Mus musculus: one gene and its partner. The protein of the gene in region 2 binds, or shares a complex with, the protein of the main gene of each other region. Links are inferred from orthologs where the notes say so. Each region holds a gene or a part of one and is shown on either strand. Other genes may lie near its edges.

Region 1 (4,140 bases), on a different chromosome or scaffold from region 2:
CCAGGCAATGGGTTTGACCCCTTGTACTACCTAAACTGTGCTTGCGCATTGTAACAAATTCCTGGAGTCCTAACACTAAGTGGCAGGGTCAGTGGGTCGGAAGTTTAAGGTTGTCCTTCCTTTATAGGGAGGTTGACTCCAGCCTGGTAGAGACCCTATACTGTCTCCCAAAAGTGGGTGAAGTAGATGAGAAGTGCACTTGGAGTGTTTGGAAGACGTGAACTAGAGTGCCAGGGTAAATAAACACATGAAGAGTGCTGGGGAGGAGTTAGCTGAGCAGGCCAGGGGAGGAGAGTACTACATACACAATAGTTGGTGCTAAGCCAGTCACGGTGAACAGTATTTCCCAGAAAACAGCAAGGCCTGGGTGGAGGGGGCAGAATTAGCAGTCATGGACCTTGGGAGCCTTACTCTTCTCTCGTTTCTGCTTGGCTAACAGATTCCGGGACCCAAAATCCCAGCGGACACACCAGGCTCAGGTGGCCTTTCAGGTGTGTGTGCGCCCTGGCTCCTATACTCCTGGCCCTCCCTCTGCGGCCCTCAGAGAACTTCCTGACCAGCACTTCAGCCCATCGGAACTTGAGTGGGTCACTAAGGAGAAGGGAGCCACACTCCTCTATGCCCTGCTGGTACGAGTGGAATAAGGGGTGACATACCACTACTCCAAGCACAGCCGGGCCTCAAGCCCAGGACTCTTGAATGACGACTGCCTCCACCTCATTCCCGTGACTGAGAGCATGTCCAGTGCTGTCCTGGCAAGGAGGAGCACGTAGGCAGGCTTTGATTTAGAGCAGGTGTGAAGCACATCTCTACATTCAGGGCCCAGCACACTCCCTCTGCTGAGAGGGAGCCCAGCTCGTCTCGGGGTCCCCCCTTCATGCACTGACTTGGGGAACATGACTCCCTATTATTACCCTCCCCCATATCACTTAATTTATTTCCGTTTTTGTTTCTGGTTACTGTGAATCCCAAAGGAGTCTCTCTGTGCCCACATGAAGCTGCTTTTTCCGTGGCCACTGGGCGCCATGGGGAGGGAGTGGGTAAAAGGAAGGGCTGCCCGAGGACGCTGTGGGCCTCTGTACAGTTGTTACTGACTCTGATTTCTAAGGAGCCAATAAATACTGTCTTCAGAGCATCTGCCTCCGCCTCTGTCTCCCGCGGCCTCGCGAGTGAAGAGTTCTAGGGGCTTTATCATCCCAGGCCGCTCTGTAAATCCACATGGAGTTTGGACATCCCGGCACCCGTCTCTAAGCGCTTCCGCCTTCCCTTTCCTCCAATCGGCTGTGCCGTTTGCCGTCGTGACTCCGGAAGGATTTATCCTGGCCGCCGGATATGACGTAGAGGCCAAGGCGCGCCGAAGGCCTCGGAGAAAGCGCCGACAAGGCGGGTTGCGGGGGTTGGCGCCAGGGCTACGAGGGAGGGGCGGGGGCGCGGAGCCTAAGACCCTCGCACGCGCCCCGGCGCTGAGGCAGAGACCCCGGAGGGACGCTGGTGCCCGGGACACGTGATCGAAGTGGCGAGCGGGCGGCGGACGGGCTTCCGCTTCGGCGCGTCGCAGTCTCTCTAAGCTCCCACTTCCCTGCAGGCCCCGCCTGAGGTCTGGCAGTCAGTGAGAGTCGGGTGCCCACTGCCCAAGCGTCACCAACAGCATCATGCCCGCACTCCTGGAGCGCCCCAAGCTTTCCAACGCTATGGCCAGGGCTCTGCACCGGCACATCATGATGGAGCGGGAGCGCAAACGGCAGGGTGAGCCTGGGCCAGAGCGGGAGGACAGACACTCGGCTCAGGGTGGCCCTGCTACCCACGAACTTGCCCCCATCCACGGGCCCAGCTGTGCGCCTGCTGGCGAGGCTAAGAGGGAGGCAGCGGCGCCTTCGGGGTGTGAGTGAAGAGGCCCAGTCTAAGTTCCAGACCAGAACCCTGGGCTGGGAAGGACCTTGGAGAGCACCTAATGAAGCCAAGTTCTCCCTGTGGCTGTGATGGAGTAACTGGTTTTTGCTGGTCTTCAGTCTAACGCTCAGCTTATTCACACCGCCTTGCCACTTCCCCGTTCTGATTCTTCAGAGGAGGAAGAGGTGGACAAGATGATGGAACAGAAGATGAAAGAAGAGCAGGAGAGAAGAAAGAAAAAGGAAATGGAAGAGAGAATGTCACTAGAGGAGACCAAGGAACAGGTAAGTAGCCTCTCCACACTTGTTTCTCGATGCCTTCTTTTCCCTGCTTTAGCTGCTCGTCCCTCTTCCAGATCCTGAAGCTGCAGGAGAAGCTTTCTGCTCTACAGGAGGAGAAGCACCAGCTTTTCTTGCAGCTCAAGAAAGTTTTGCATGAGGAAGAAAAACGGAGGCGAAAGGAACAGAGGTGTGATGAGATGGCTAAAAGTAAAATTGTGCAGTGGCACAGGTGACAATCTAATAGCAAGAGGCTAACTGACCTGTCTTCCTTCCACTCCAGTGACTTAACCACTCTGACATCAGCTGCATACCAGCAGAGCCTGACGGTTCATACAGGAACCCACCTCCTCAGCATGCAGGGTGAGAGGACTGAGGAAACCGCCTAACAGGGGAGTTCTCCAGGAGGTCGCTGCCTATTTTAGCATCGTGAAACCTCTCCCCCTTTCTAGGGAGCCCTGGAGGACACAATCGCCCAGGTACTCTGATGGCAGCTGACAGAGCCAAGCAGATGTTTGGACCACAAGTGCTTACGGTGAGGGAAAGGTTTTTTGATTTTTTTTAACTCTTCAGGCTGGCTTTTTAAGTTACTAGCCAAGACTAGTCTTGAAATCTGATCCTAACTCCATGTCTCCTCCTTCTGTGGATCAGTACTGTTAATCCCAATCATTCAAGAACAAATATACCAAGCATGTGTATGTAGGAGCTGAGCGTAAAGGCATATATATATACATATGGGGTTTTTCCTAAGCAGTGAGCTTTCATTTCCCCTTAGACCCGGCACTACGTGGGATCAGCAGCTGCTTTTGCAGGAACCCCAGAACATGGACAATTCCAAGGCAGTCCAGGGGGTGCTTATGGGACTGCTCAGCCCCCACCTCATTATGGGCCAACACAACCAGCCTATAGTCCTAGCCAGCAGCTCAGAGGTGAGTGTTGTTCTCCTCAGACTAGGGGCAAGAAGAGCAAGAGCATCAAACCCTAACAGATCATCTCCCACCTTCCTCAGCCCCATCAGCATTTCCTGCAGTGCAGTACCTATCTCAGCCACAGCCACAACCCTATGCAGTGCATGGCCACTTTCAGCCCACTCAGACAGGTGAGATCCCCCTGGGCAGGAGCCCTACCTTCAGGAGTCCTACTGCCACCTGCTCATTTCAAACTCTCCTCCCCTCAGGGTTCCTCCAGCCCGGCAGTACCCTCTCTTTGCAGAAACAGATGGAGCATGCCAACCAGCAGACCAGCTTCTCGGACTCAGTGAGTATGGAGTCCTGGGAGGCCAAGGTGCTAAGATGAGGGGAGCCCCAGGATGCCTCCCTTTAAGGTCAGCTTTGTCTCCTAGTCTTCTCTGCGGCCCATGCACCCCCAAGCTCTGCATCCAGCCCCTGGACTCCTGGCTTCCCCCCAGCTTCCCGTACAGATACAAGCAGCAGGGAAGGTAAGGCTGGCAATCAAACCTACATATACTACCAGGGAAAGACTAACCTCTTACTGTAACTGTCCCCTCCCCCTTGTGCTGAGTGCTGGAATACCTACCCACTGATAAAACTCTTATCATTACCAGTCAGGCTTTGCCACCACCAGCCAACCTGGCCCCCGACTCCCTTTCATCCAACACAGCCAGAACCCAAGATTCTATCACAAGTAACCACCAGAGAGCTCCAGCCCACCCTCCATCCCTCAGGCTGGGGTCTTATGTGCCCCAAACCAATAAAATGTACAAAATGTACCCACCATCATGCCTGAGTGCTGTTTATTTGCTTCCTATCCAACTGCCTAAACCACAAAGGCTACTATGAAGTCTCAGCATTTCTAGATTCTAAAAGTACCTTTCAATCAACAAATAAACAACTGAGTTGGGGGCTTCATATTAAACTTGTAGTTTTATTCAGGTTTGATTTTTAACAAATGTGTCAGGGAGAGAGCCCACAGGAAAGGGTAAAGCCCGTGGGGGCAAGGCCTTCCCAGATGC
Region 2 (4,291 bases):
TTCTGGATGTCCAGAGCACTCTGCTCCTCCTGTAGAAGGCTCCATTGCTGAGCTGTGCAGACTCAGTCACCATCGAGGCCACGCCCACTTCCCAGATGGAGAAACTGAGGTGGAAACCAGCAGGCCAGAGATCACAGAGGGGACAGGGTTTGTGTCTGCCACCCTGTCTCACGGTCTTTCCTCCAGACCACTTGGGCCATGTATGTGTGTGTGTGTGTGTGTGTGTGTGTGTGTGTATGTATTATCTTGCCGTTGCCTCTTAGCCTTTTTTTCAGTGTCCCAGAAGTCTCAGAATGTTTCTTCACTGTCAGGACACTCCAGGATAGCAGTAATACACCCGTGTCTCTCTAGTGACCTCCTCAGGGGTGAAGTCCCCGAAGGAGAGGCCTGGGAGCAAAGGGCAGGTAGATCCATTTCACAGACTTTTGTTTCTATGGTTACTCTACAAAATGACACACCTCAGGCAAAAGCTTGCAACCTTGCCAGCACGTTTTTTTTTTTTTTTTTTTTTTTTTTTTTTTGGTTTGTCGAGACAGGGTTTCTCTGTATAGCCCTGGCTGTCCTGGAACTCACTTTGTAGACCAGGCTGGCCTCGAACTCAGAAATCCGCCAGCTTCTGCCTCCCGAGTGCTGGGATTAAAGGCGTGCACCACCACCACCCGGCTACCAGCACGGTTTTTTTAACCTTCTATGTTTATATCCTGTTGCTTTTACGAAGCAATGAGACTGTTTCATTTATGATATGTTTTATGTCCCCACCCCCACCCCTTGGGTCTCATGTACCCCAGGCTATCCTTGATCTCCATTTGTAGCAGAGGATAGCCTGGCTTTGGTGGATGAATTCCCCATCCTCCAAGTGAATCTCCAAGTTCGGTCGATTCGGTTTTGGGGATGGAACTCTGCCGACTGAGCTGCACCCTAGCTGCTAAGCACCCCATTCTTGGAATTAGGATTCCTGGCTGGTTTGTTGTGTGGCCTTTACCAGGCACACCCCCTCCTGGGACAGGTGATTATATGCCCATAGAATACGAGCGTTGGATGAGATAGACGGTTTCTAGACTGCCCCTAGAATAAGGGCCTGGGATGAGATGGTTTCTAGAGACCCTTTCAGGTCAGAGAATCCACAACTCCACAGTACATTTTTAAAGTTCGGGATGACTTTGTAATAATCAGGACCTGCCTGCTCATGCGCCATCACTGTAGCCTCCCAGATCACAAACGTTCCCAATGACAGGGGACTCAGGTGGTACTTAGGCTTTCGAGCTGGCGCTGGGCTCTGGCAGCCACACTTATACTTAGTCTCCCTTTATGAGGGGATAATAACACTCATTTGCAGCGAAGCTCCAGGTTGGGGCCACAGGGCAAGGTCCCCTGCCACACTGCTTTGGCCCTGGCAACGCACAGCACCCTATGATGCCCACCCAGCCCTCTGCCTGTACACTTAGATGACGTAGGGCTCACTACCGGCGCTGGCCTGGGGAAAGGGAAGGGTCTCCTCTTTTAGCCTTAAGAAAGTCCTTGGGTGAGGGAGAGGGAGACAGGCGATCAGGAGGTGCTGAGCCTGTTCCTTAGTGGGGACAGATGTCAGGAAATGAGGCAGAAGTGTCCAGAGATGGGCTTAAGCCTTTCTCTCCCTCCACATCCCTCAAGAGATGTCTGGAGGCGAGGGACGTGTAAGGACACATTCCTGTGCTGAGGCACAGGTGGTTATGAACAAGTCCCTGGAGCATTCGCAGAAGAGCAGGCTCTGAGACAGAAGGGCCACATGCTAGCTAAGGGACACTATCAGGATTGCAGCCACAGTGGGACCAGATTCCCCAGTTTCGCTAGTGAGAGTCCCCATCTCGAGAAGAATGCAACATAAGACCTTCATCAAAAGGCATCTTATAGAACTTCCCAGCCCTACACCAGAGGTCTTTAAAGATCCTGGAGTCACTGCACCCCTAGATACATGCTCAGTCCCCCAACCCCCGGAGACACTGTTTTCCTGGCAAGTGGACTGAGGACCGAGTGTGGTAGTACCAACCCTGTCCCACCAGGCTGGTACGCAGAACTGGGCTCCGGCAGCTGGCCAGGGCGCGGACCAGGACGTCCTTCTCCATTGCCCGAATGCAGGTGGGTGTTTGCTCGGCTCGGGTCCAGGCAGGTCTGAGGCTGAGATCTGGCCATTGCCAGCGCGGGGCTCCTCCTCCAGCTCCAGGCGATGAGCCTGGTCTGGGTAGCAGACTGCTCGCCCCACCCGCGCGCCCAGGTCGCCTCGGCAGGGACTCAGGGATGCTTCCTCCTCCACCGTTTCCCGGGACTGGAAGCTGAGGCCCCCGCGGGTAACCCAGCCAGGACAGGAACAATCACGACTCGGGTCCACGGGGCACCTGGGCCACACCGGGGCCTGTCGAGACTGGCTGCCGCGCCCAGGGCGGGCCGCTCACCGCCGCAAGAGGCGCGGGCGGTAAGGACTGGCCCCTAACCTCTGGAGCGCGAACCTGGGGGTCGCTGCTCCTAGTCACCCACTGAGGGAGCGGCCGCACCAGTATCCCGATGGGGAAACTGAGGACTGGAGCGGGGCAGAGCTTTGTGTGAGATCGTGCGGGGGTCTGGAGGATAGGTCTCCGCGACGCCGGGGACAGCATCCCTCCCGCCACAGAGCCGCAGCCCGGGCGCAGCGAGCGTCCCGCCCGGCCCGGTCCCACCCTACCTTGTTGGCTGCCGCGCAGGTGGCGGCGGCGGCGGCTCCGGCTCCCGCTCCGCGCTTCGCGCCGCCCGCCGAGTCCCCGCGCCCAGTGCCGCCGCCTCCCCGCGCAGCCCGGCGGGCGGGACCGGGCCGGGCGGGGTCGGGGCGGGGCGGGACGGAGAGGCCCCGCCTGTGCGCCGCCCGTCGCCCGCAGCTCGGTTCCCGTCCCGCGTGCACACACTCTCGCCTCCGACACGCTCTCGCCGCAGGCTTTGGGTGGGACTCGGGTCCCGAACCTCAGTTTCCCCTTGCTGAGATGGAGACTGTCATCGCGCCTGCCTCCCAGATGGCTCGAAGCTGGATCCCGCAGCGAGCGCCGGGACCGCAGCTCTGCAGGCGGCGGGAGAACTGGAGAGCGGAGGGCGGCTGCGCATCCGGGAGATCCTTCCCACTGCTGCCATTAGGGGGCGCTGCGTCCAAGCCGCTCCCTCTTTCAGCCGGGTGCTCACTGAATATGGAAGATAGGACGTCATATCTTTCATAATAACCACGCCACACCACCTGTCTTGGAAAGTGTTCTTCGTGTCTTGTAGTGATGTGTTTGGTGGGGGGCGGGGGGGAGGAGGGAGACTAGCACTGTACCTGGCACAAAGTAGGTATTGTATATATTGTTAACTAAGAACACAATTTATTACATTTGATCTACCAACGCCTTCAATGTAGTCATAATACTCCCATTTCATAGACAAGAAGTTGAGACTTTAGCTGAGTTCTTGGTAGGCTCTATAACAAATTTAATGTGTGTGTGTGTATGATTTGTGATGGTGGGATTGAACATTAGGACCGTGCATATGCTTGCCAGGCAAGTATTCTACCTTTGAGCTACACTGTGAGACCTCTCCTCTTTTTCTGAAACAAGAGTTCACTAAATTGCTTAGGTTGGCTTTGAACTAGCCATCTTCCTCCCTCAGCCTCTAGGAGCTGGGATTGTAGGACTACACCACCACACTCAGCTCTGGTGAGTCCTTGATCACTTTAGAACAGCAGTCGCTAAAGCCTTCCTCTAGTTCCTGCTGAACCACAGGGCCCTGGGCCGGTTTTCTTCCTAGAGCTGTGGGTTTCCCACGTCTGAATTCCCCCTGCATCCCGCTTGGAGCTGCACTGGCAGAAGCACACAGCGCACAACCGCAGCAGTTGGACCTTTGCCCTCAAGGGTCCATGGTAATCTAAAACATTTTTGTCACTTTTTAACGAGTGTGTGTGTGTGTGTGTGTGTGTGTGTGTGTGTGTGCAAACTTTCAGAAGTTAGTTCTTTCCTTTCATCTTATTTCTGCAATGCTACATATTCCTGGCTGACTGTCCCTGAGCTATCGGGCAATATATCAGATGCCTCCCATCTCCAAGTAGGAGGGCTGCATTCAGCTTTTTACATGGTTCCTGGGGACAGGTCTCAGGCTGCCTGGCTCCTGAGACAGCACTATCACCCTCTTAGGCATTTTACCAGCCCATTTATTAATTTTTTTAAGGAGGGTCCCACATAGCCCAGGTCGGTCTTAGACTGTCTATGAACTAAGAAGAACCCATGAACTCATTCTCCTGTCTACCTCCTAAAGGCTGGGG

The links.
Region 1: Coro2a (region 2) and Gps2 share a complex: the UniProt entries of both Homo sapiens proteins name them as parts of the N-Cor repressor complex. The link is inferred for Mus musculus from reciprocal best matches to the Homo sapiens genes CORO2A and GPS2.

The regions. Positions count from the first base shown.
Region 1 is NC_000077.6:69,912,688-69,916,827, forward strand, and holds Gps2 (G protein pathway suppressor 2), read left to right. Parts: upstream 1-1,332; 5' UTR 1,333-1,652; coding exon 1,653-1,746; intron 1,747-2,064; coding exon 2,065-2,174; intron 2,175-2,245; coding exon 2,246-2,358; intron 2,359-2,451; coding exon 2,452-2,531; intron 2,532-2,620; coding exon 2,621-2,703; intron 2,704-2,943; coding exon 2,944-3,097; intron 3,098-3,177; coding exon 3,178-3,267; intron 3,268-3,345; coding exon 3,346-3,425; intron 3,426-3,510; coding exon 3,511-3,606; intron 3,607-3,732; coding exon 3,733-3,816; downstream 3,817-4,140. Other genes in the region: Neurl4 (neuralized-like protein 4), read left to right, coding at 440-644. UniProt on the Homo sapiens protein: Key regulator of inflammation, lipid metabolism and mitochondrion homeostasis that acts by inhibiting the activity of the ubiquitin-conjugating enzyme UBE2N/Ubc13, thereby inhibiting 'Lys-63'-linked ubiquitination.
Region 2 is NC_000070.6:46,599,122-46,603,412, forward strand, and holds the start of Coro2a (coronin-2A), read right to left. Parts: upstream 2,809-4,291; 5' UTR 2,696-2,808; intron 1-2,695.